2 linked regions of the Saccharomyces cerevisiae S288C genome follow. The protein of the gene in region 1 purifies or fractionates together with the protein of each later gene. This does not show direct contact. Each region holds a gene or a part of one and is shown on either strand. Other genes may lie near its edges.

Region 1 (6,365 bases):
GAGGACGAGTTTTGGACGAACGTGGGAATAATGAAACGGTACTTAACAACGTTGTGCCGCCTAAGGAAGATTTGGATGCATTATTGAAGACATTCAGGGTACAAGGGCCCGTTGGCCTTGAAGAAAATGAGAAGAAGCTCTTATTAGGATGGCTAGATGCGCATAGAAAAATGGAAAAAGGCTCTATGACTGAAGAAGACGTTCAACTGATTCAAAGTTTGGAAGAGTGGGAAATGAATGATATAGAGGGACAACATACTCATTATGATTTATTGCCAGGGGGAGATGAGTTTGGCGTAGATCAAGATGAGTTGGATGCTATGAAGGAAATGGGCTTTTAGCAATGTCATTGAAGGTAATAATCCAAACGTGCGTGTGGGCATCTATACATATAGGTTTATATATATTGTGTAAATAAAGCTTGTAGAAAGAGCCTGGTTCGAGTGTTTGATTTTTTCTTCTTGGGCGTTATTATACAATATCTACTTCAAATTATTTATCTAGGTGGTCCATAAGCGAGCCGTATTATCAGCACCGGCAGAAAACAGCCAAGCTTCCCTCGGATGCCAAATAGCATCAAGAACACCCAGACTATTGATTACTTTATGACCGGTTAGTTTCTTTAGTGGCACAATCATCGGATTTTTCATCATGTCATCATAAACAGTGGCATGGAAAACATGTATGGTACCGTCATCAGCGGCAGAGCTGAATAGAGGTAACTTTTTGTGGAAATTCACACTTCTGACGGCTTTTTCATGATATCTTAGTGTCTTGTAAGGTGTGCTAGCCAAATCCAGGTCGTGCCATAAAACTCTCTTGTCAAACGATGACGCAATTAAATTATCACCCCTTGGGTGAATATCGATTTTCGATAACCAACGGGCACCAGGCAACAGTTTCTTGACCAATATTTGTTGAGATAAATCATAAATTCTGACATATCTTTGGGAACAGACAAATAATTGAGGTTTAAAAGGATGGAACTTCGCATCCATAATAATGCCCTTCGATTTTTTGAATGGGGATTGGGTTAAATGCTTGGAAACTTGGTGAATCAAAACAGAAGTGTTACCAGAGTCAGGTTGAACAGTGACAAAGTAATCACCTTTTCTATGCCATGAAAGCTTTTTTACTGTTTTTTTGCAAGAAATAGTGATACAAATATCCTTTTCTAGTTGCTTTTGAGAAGGCTTGTTCCATTGGGCTACTTGTTTTTTTACAGCATTCTTAGCAGATTCATTCTCTCCATCTTCATCGCCATCACCATTCTCGTTCACTTCTAGGTTAGATTTTTTAACAGTCCCAAAAGTATCGTAGCCAAAACCATCTTCAATCTTAGTTTTGCCGTTATTTTCAATATCGTAGCCGAATATTGGTGGTACTATTAAATGAATGTTTTCACCAACAGCAACGGCGAGAATACCATTATTAGCATCAGGATTCCATTCAATGCATTCAATGTGGTAATCTGGGTTTTCCTCGTCATCGATTAAAGTAGTTCTATAAACTTCTCTACCAGTTAAAATTTCCCATACCCTGACTGTTCCGTCATCAGATCCTGTTGCTAGCCATAATCCAGAAGGATCAATGGATAATGTGCGTACTTTTCCTTTGTGACCAGCGTATATTGTTGAGCAACGAATAGGGAAGGGTCTTAAATCCTTGGGAGAGGGAAGTTCTGGAATTAGAGAATTAGGATCAATATTCAATTTGTTTTTACGGACACGAGGAGCTAAATATAAATCCAAAGATCTTTCAAATCTTTCCCTAATAGATTCACCGTAACCAGGGACCTTTCTTAAGGCAGAATACTTTTGAGGTATGAAGTTTCTTTCTCTTTCACTATATTCAGTATTTTCCCAGGCCTCCTTTTCTTCAGGAGACAAAAGATACTCTTCTGGTGGATTATAACTCTCTTCATTAGTTGGTGGAGGTAATTTTGGTGCCCTTAGATGCATTACATGATCATTTGTTTCCGTAGAATCACCCCATAAATCGTATTGATAGTTTTCAATTTTTTCCTTTTCTTTCATTTCCTTTAATTTTTTAGGAGGAATAATACGGCCCTCTCTGATAGCTCTTACAATTTTCATAACTCTCTTGGCTTCGTTTTTGGATGGAACAAATCTTCTTTTTGGCTCCGGAACAGCAGTTAATGGCATCACTTCTTCGTGTCTCGTGAACCAATCGATTAACGGTTCGTATGGATTTATGCTATCATCAGTTTGTTCGTTCCTTTGGATTTTGGAAATAAGTTCTAATTCCTCTTTGGTTAAGTTCAAACTTGAACCGGAATTCTTGTCCAGTAAACCAGTCCAGCCTTCAGGTAGCTCGATAGAATCCAACAGTTGATCTAAAGCAGAACCCTTGGCAGGTCTCATAATCCTTTTACCGTTGATATCGTATCCAATGTGTGGCATTTCATCGTATGCAGAAAGTGGAATATTACCAATGGTATTTTGCGTTTCGGCATCACTATCATCGCTATCATAAACTGGATTAATTTCAGGTTTGATAATTCTATCACTGCCATCTGCATATTTTGAGTAAATATTCGGATCAACGATCGTTTGCAATTTCACACCCGATAATCTGTCTGTTAAGGAAGTTGTGTCGTCTGAAAACTCAGAACTGTCATAGTCCTCTTCCCCATCACCTTCTTCTTCGGCAAGCAGTTTGTTTAATTCAGCATCGGAGTCATCATCAGAATCATCTTGGGCTTCTTTATCAGAAGATGATTCCTTTTCTTCAACGGCAGACTCGTATTCGTCATCATCCTCGTCACTCTCACTTGCTTCCGCATCGATCAAACCGTCAACGGATAAAAGCTTGTCCTCATCTTCCTCGACATCAGATTCTTCGCTAGCTGCTCTCTTTTTCGACATCTTTGCCTCGGTAGTTTTGTTGTTCTTAGCCATCATTGACCTAGTTATGTTAGAACAGATTTAATACAGTACCTTTCTTCGCTAGGATCTATATGCGAATATATCACATATGTAAATTATAAGCTCATCGCAAAACCAAAAAAAAAAAAATTTTCAATAATTTTTCACTAATCTTCAAAAACAAATGGGGTAACCCGTACAAGAGTTATTAAAACCCAAAATGACAAAATCGCGACAATTCAATCCTACTTAATTAGCAATAACATACTAGCGGTAGAGCTACTATCACATGTTGAACCTTGAATGCTCAATTCATTGTACTCAATACTGCTATCAAAAGAAAAAAAATGTATTAATTATATTCTTGTCAAAATCAATTTTACACTATAAGAGGAAAATGTTCTTCAGTCCTAGTAACATTAGTTTTCTCCCTTTGCTAGAGACTTTACATAATATCCTAGAAGGTAAAATTCGATAATACAGCAGTAAAGTCGTATATTGGTAGCAATCCTTGGTGACGCTGACTTTTTTTTTTTGTAATTTTATTGTTTAGTTCATGATAAAAAACTTCAAATCACTTTTAATCTGGTAGACAGAGAAAACAAATCGAAACGAAAATAGAGAACTACGAATAAAAAAATATAAGTGGAGAAGATCGTCACTACGCATTAAACAATATTGATCGCTCAATGCCAGTACTGCGCGTAAAAGTTTAGTAACTTAACGATTTAGGCACAATTTGAGAAAAATTTCGCCCTGCAGTAAGTATGTTATTCAGTACGATATAAAGCTGAGGTTTTATGCTGGCAACGTTCAGATTTTTTAGGTTATCAGCAATGTTAAAATATTAAATAGGATACTTTTATTGTTTGAGACCACCCTCAATGCCAGATATGTTAAACGCTTTTTTCTGGAGTGAGGTATCATAGAAAAAGGCTCGAGTACATCAAGCACTTAAAGGTTCAACACTCTACTGTTACTTCTTTAAGCTAAGCTATTCATACATAATAGTCCATCAAAGTGGCTCAAATTGCGCATACAGTGTAAAAATGCGTTCAGGGAATAACGATGTCAAGCAGCGTGTGAAAATTGGACACGTTGAATAATAAACTTCCTGGAAACCGTCGCGCGCCACTGCTGTCAGAAAATAGTAGACTACTTAATTTTCAATTCATATTTAGCCTGCTTTTTGATCTATGAAATCGCCCACTCTAAATCAGCGGTGTTTTTGCACGGTTTGTAATTTTAACTTCATTATATGTATTATTCGGTGACTTCACTAAAAAAGAAGGATCTATGCAATATTCTTATCTTCTATTTTTTTTCTTTTCGATTTTTGAAGTTAAACCTTCGTAATGAACAGATTCGAACAGTATACAGCTGATGACAATTACATGTTAAACTTTCATTGATGATAATGGCACGCACTCCACCTGTTAAAGAGGCAGAACGAAGAACCTTTGCTTATAACATAGGTCAGTGTATACTGGATAATAGTATCGAATAACCAGCATAATATTTTCTCTGGAAATACCTTTAAGGGGTTTTTAGAAGAAAAACAAATCCTAGTGCAACTTGCAAGTCATCAAAAATAATCTATCTTATCTCTATATATATATTTGTGTATTTTATATTTTATGACAAAGCTAGAAATATAAAATCAGATACCGCAATAGAAGATATTTCAAATAATAATACCAATCTCATAGCTCAAAACAGGCACTAAGGGAATACTGAAGAAAGTAATGTCTAGGAGTTAGTATAGCTTGAAGTTGCCATCGGTGTCATTTAGGTAGATCTATCTAGATTACGCGCAGCCCTCAGAAAAGCAAGTGATTTCCGAAGTTTCAACCTACCCAGACTATTCACATAAGGTTAATTTATGATTGAACAGTTCAAATAAATCTGCGCCATTCATGAAGATGATTCGATACCGCAATATGCTGCTAAAGTGCTAAAAAAATGATTTCGCCCAGGATCGAACTGGGGACGTTCTGCGTGTTAAGCAGATGCCATAACCGACTAGACCACGAAACCAGGTTTTATTGAAAAATTGCATCTAAAATAACCTATACTAATAAATCTTCTAATAAATCTTCTAACTCTTCGCTGTTCTATGTGATATCGTTGATAGTTAGGTTTTCGTGTTGAAATAATCAATTACATTTATTGACTGGTTTAATATTAATATATTATCATATACAGTGTAAGAAGGTGAGATATATGTGGGTAATTAGATAATTGTTGGGATTCCATTGTTGATAAAGGCTATAATATTAGGTATACAGAATATACTAGAAGTTCTCCTCGAGGATATAGGAATCCTCAAAATGGAATCTATATTTCTACATACTAATATTACGATTATTCCTCATTCCGTTTTATATGTTTATATTCATTGATCCTATTACATTATCAATCCTTGCGTTTCAGCTTCCTCTAACATCGATGACAGCTTCTCATAACTTATGTCATCATCTTAACACCGTATATGATAATATATTGATAATATAACTATTAGTTGATAGACGATAGTGGATTTTTATTCCAACATACCACCCATAATGTAATAGATCTAATGAATCCATTTGTTTGTTAATAGTTTGAATGTTTTTATCGGAAGAGGTTTGGTCATTACGTCTGCAATATTCTTTTTGGTTTCGATATAGCATACGTGCAGATGATTTCCTGATACTTCATCTCTTAGTCTCATTGCTTTAGTACCAAAAAATCTGTTTCTAAATTTCTCTTCATTATTGGATATAATTATACTGATTGTAGATTTACTGTCGGTTAGTAATCCTTTAGTAATTGGTTTCTTGTTAAGTTCTTGCACAAGGTGACTGAGGTTATTTAATAATGGGACAGATTCACTTATCGCGTGTATTTCTGCTTCCGTAGTTGAAGTACATGTTAATGAAGCCTTGGTGGACTTTCCTCCAATTACTTTTCCATTAAGTAAATATATGTTGCCAATTTGTGATTTATAATACGGTTGGTTACCATACGATGCATCGCTTATAACAACTAATTTATTTGTTGGCTTAACAGGTTTGCTTTTGTGCCATATTAATTGCTTATCTCTCGTATTCCATATGAACTGTATCAATTCATATGTCATATCTAACACTTGCTTGGACGGAAATAGTATATGTTGTGCAAGTGTGTTGATGTAGTATAATAGGTCAAATCTAAATTTATATCCAACATATGATGCTAGACCTATCAGCTTTTGCATTTCATGTACCTTCATTTTGTAATCATCTTCTTCTAGCTCTAGTTCTTGCTGGTCTATATATAGACCTGGTTGACCTGGAGCGCTAAGTTTCCTTCCTTTTGGGTTCAAAGGTACGTTTAGTTTGGGTATTTTTTCAGTTAATGAGTTTTCCATACCTAATTTCATGTATTTACCTCTTTGATATTTGATTTCTAAGCCAAGTATGTCGTACTGAATTTCGTTATCACTTTCACCCAGAT
Region 2 (4,295 bases), on another chromosome or scaffold:
GAAAGAACGTATTGTGAAGGAATTCACTGGATTCCTTCCTACCGGTACCAATATCACTGTAAATATGTCTTCAGATCCTTCATTGGATGCCTGGAAGGGTATGGCAGCTCTAGCACGAAACGAAGAACAGTATAGGAAAACAGTTATCAGTAAGAAAGAATACGAAGAGTACGGTCCAGAGTACATCAAAGAGCATAAGTTAGGGAATACGAAGTATTTTGAAGACTAAGGAGACAGCAAACTGAAACGCCTTAAAAACAAAAAAAGAGAAATAAATAGAGATATATGTAATACTATATTGGCAACGAATATTAATAAGTAATATCATCGCCTTTTTTCTTAGTGCTGTTTACAAATCGGCTTTATTATTTCTATTTTGAATTTAATATACAGTGAGACATATTTGAAATTGATATATATATATATATATATATATGTAGACAGAGAAAGATTAGAGAGAGAAAACTATGCTAACATGATGCCACTACGTTTGTGGGAACTTATTTTTCGTTAGAAGGTCTTTTAGCTTTTGGATTGACACCCTTTTTCAAAAGATTGTTTTTCACAGACTTTTCAATGTACTTATCGTCTTCTTCGTCCTCGAAGGTTGCGAAGTCAGAGTGAATGATACCTTCTTCCAAAGCTTCCTTTCTAGCAGCAGTTTCCTTTTCTTTTGCACTTGCTTGGTTATCATCAAACGAAGATGGACCGATCTTTTGGAATTTAGCGACAAAGAACCCATCGACGTTGTACGTATGTGGATAGTACCTCCTCGCTAATTTCACACTAGGATGAAACTTTTTGCCTCTGTAACTAGTAAACGCTTCTTTACCGATCGCTAAACCAGTATCGACTAACTTGACATTCGGTCTTTTTCTCAATGCATAGTCTATGACAGCTTCGTCCTCTTCCACTGCAACAGAACATGTCGAATATACTATTACACCACCATGTTTCGAGTTGCAATCAACAGAATCAATGGCGGATAGAAGCAATTGTTTTTGTAGATGTGGAATTTGAATGAAGTCCTTCTCGGTACGAGACACCTTGACAGATTGATCCTTACCGATAACACCAGTACCGGAACATGGGGCATCCAGTAAAATTCTGTCAAAACCTCCAATTACCTTAGGGAACTCACGGGCATCGTAATTGCATACAATAGTGTTGGTACAGCCTAGACGGTGGATATTAGCAATTAAAGATTTTGTTCTAGATTTATTGGCGTCGTTAGCGAAAACACAACCTGTGTTTTTCATCATAGCTGATATATAAGTGGTCTTACCACCTGGAGCAGCTGCCATATCCAAGATACGCTCATTTTCATGAGGATCTAGAGCAATAACTGGTAGAAAAGATGATGCCGCTTGTAAAATATAGTGACCTGCCAAATATTCTGGCGTAGCACCAATTGGGACTTGGGAATCGAATATTTGAAGACCAACTTTAGTCCAAGAACCAATAGGTTGTAGATTAACACCTCTATTCACAAGAGTTTGAGCTAAGTCTCTCCTTCTGGTCTTCAAGGTGTTGGTTCTGATGGTTATTGGTCTTGCAATTTCATTGGCTTCGAAAAACTCCATCGCCTCTGCTGGTGAGAATAGATTGAATAACTTTTCCGCCAAAAATGGTGTATAACCAAAGTACTCACAAATATCTTTCAAAAGTCTGTCAACGTATTCTCCTCTCGATCTGCCTTCTGCACCAAGAGTCTTAAAATTTTCCAAAACCTTTACAATTTCAATCATTCTTGTTCTTGTGGAAGTTAAATTAGGAGTTTCTTGTGCCATCATTTCTTCCTGCTCCTCAGTGGGCAATATGTCTGCTCTTGGTTGCATGTTCTCCGCTTCCACTAACTCCATTTCGGCTTCTTCAGCTTCTTCAGCTTCTTCTTCATCAAGTTTCTTAGAAAGAGCTTCCATGTTTTGTGCATTTAGTTCTTCAAGATCAGCCTCATCGTCGTCATCTGAAAAAATTGGGTGGGCGTCATTATCTTCATCTTCATCGTAATCATATTCTTGTTCCAAGTCAAATTCATCTTTTAGTTCTTCATCCACCAATCCTGCTTCATCGTCATCTTCTTCATCATCAAATAAAGATTTCCTGGCTTTTGATAATTCTTCAAGATCAACTTCTGGCAAATCCTTATCCTCTTCAACAACTTCTTCCTCCTCTTTTCTAGATTTCTTGAATGGCTTCGACTTCTTTTTCTTTCTATCAGAAACTTCATCCCCTTGCGTGGTAGAAGGTCTCTTTCCTTTTTCTAGCTTTCTATTAGCCTTCTTTTCCTTTCTTGCCTGAAACTCCTCCAGGGTTGGTGGGGCGGCTTGCTTGTTCTTATGACGTCTACTACCCATTTCCTATTATATGTATATGTAATTCTAATATTAGCCAACACAAGGGGAATTCCGCCAGAATTACAAATCTATATACCTTAGCGACAACTGTATTTGCAGCTCAGCTCATCTTAAACTTATTCTGCGATGAGATGAAAATTTTTTTCAGAAAACGTGAAACTGGGTAACGGTTTTGTAAAATCTGAAAAATTTCATCAAAAAAAAAAAAAAAGTCGATGAGGTGTATAATAACAATAATAATATTCAACTTTAAATTCTTTGGCACGTTGGATCCTACTCACATTGTTGCAAACGAATTGGACAAAAAAACTTTGAATTTAGTGCACAATGAATGCTTTGACAACCATAGATTTTAATCAGCACGTTATCGTCCGGCTGCCATCAAAAAATTACAAGATAGTGGAACTAAAGCCCAACACCTCTGTATCATTAGGAAAATTCGGTGCTTTCGAGGTTAATGACATAATTGGTTATCCTTTCGGGTTGACTTTCGAGATATATTATGATGGCGAAGAGGTTTCATCCGATGAAAATAGAGATTCGAAACCAAAGAACAAAATTCCCATCGGGAAAGTAAGGCTATTATCGCAGGAGATCAAAGATGTCAATAATGATAAAGACGATGGTCAAAGCGAGCCTCCTTTATCTATTAAGGAAAAATCTGTGTCTCTTGAATTGTCTAGCATTGACAGCAGTGCTACGAATCAGAATCTGGTTAACATGGGCAGCAAGGCCCAAGAGTTAACCGTTGAAGAAATTGAAAAAATGAAACAAGAATCTTTATCTAGTAAAGAAATAATCGACAAAATTATCAAATCTCACAAAAGTTTTCACAACAAGACCGTATATTCTCAAGAGAAATATGTGAATAGGAAGAAACAAAAATTCGCCAAGTACTTCACCGTTGAGTATTTAAGTAGCTCTAACCTTTTACAATTCTTAATCGACAAAGGCGATATCCAAAGGGTATTGGATATGTCTCAGGAATCGATGGGGATGCTGTTAAATCTTGCGAACATCCAATCAGAAGGCAACTATCTCTGTATGGATGAAACGGGTGGGTTATTGGTTTACTTTCTGTTGGAAAGAATGTTTGGCGGTGACAATGAAAGCAAATCCAAGGGCAAAGTCATAGTTATTCACGAAAATGAACATGCCAACTTGGATTTGCTGAAGTTTGCTAATTATTCTGAGAAATTTATTAAAGAGCATGTACACACCATTTCTCTATTAGATTTTTTTGAACCGCCTACACTACAAGAGATTCAGAGCAGATTTACACCATTACCTAAAGAAGAAGCCCGTGCATTAAAAGGTGGTAAGAAAAACTCGTACTACCGAAAACTCAGATGGTACAATACACAATGGCAAATTTTAGAACTAACAGGAGAATTCCTATATGACGGTCTTGTAATGGCTACTACACTACATTTACCAACACTAGTGCCAAAGTTGGCCGAAAAAATCCATGGTTCAAGGCCGATTGTATGCTATGGTCAATTCAAAGAAACTTTGTTGGAATTAGCTCATACTTTATATTCAGACCTCAGGTTTTTAGCACCATCAATTTTGGAAACTAGATGTAGGCCGTACCAAAGTATAAGGGGTAAGCTACACCCTCTGATGACCATGAAAGGTGGTGGTGGATATCTAATGTGGTGTCACAGAGTCATCCCTGCTCCTGAACCTGTATCGGAAAACGCGACTGCAGCTGACTCCAGTGAAAAGCTTGCTGAACATGGAGCTAAGAAACAAAAAATATAAATGTCCACAGAGTGTTCCGTTTGATAACTTCCAACAAAAAAACCTGAGAATATATATATTTACATTTATATACTTAGTTGCAATTAGCTTTGTGCCCACTGAGTGCGGTTGCTAAATGTCTTATAGTCCCAAAGGATGCAAAAATCTGGTGTAGTATTCGCCCTTTGGGAGTGG

What was found. Proteins that work in one complex are often made in the same cells at the same time.
Region 2: the proteins of ERB1 (region 1) and NOP2 purify together in Saccharomyces cerevisiae (affinity purification with mass spectrometry; 6 studies listed by BioGRID, with this or other methods). This does not show direct contact.

What each region holds. Positions count from the first base shown.
Region 1 is NC_001145.3:367,594-373,958, forward strand, and holds ERB1 (ribosome biogenesis protein ERB1), read right to left. Parts: upstream 2,925-6,365; coding exon 501-2,924; downstream 1-500. Other genes in the region: CSM3 (Csm3p), read left to right, coding at 1-341.
Region 2 is NC_001146.8:508,602-512,896, reverse strand, and holds NOP2 (rRNA (cytosine-C5-)-methyltransferase NOP2), read right to left. Parts: upstream 2,358-4,295; coding exon 501-2,357; downstream 1-500. Other genes in the region: actin-related protein ARP5, read left to right, coding at 1-229; tRNA 1-methyladenosine methyltransferase subunit GCD10, read left to right, coding at 2,685-4,121; MTQ1 (S-adenosylmethionine-dependent methyltransferase), read right to left, coding at 4,195-4,295. UniProt on the Saccharomyces cerevisiae protein: S-adenosyl-L-methionine-dependent methyltransferase that specifically methylates the C(5) position of cytosine 2870 (m5C2870) in 25S rRNA. Required for 60S ribosomal subunit synthesis and processing.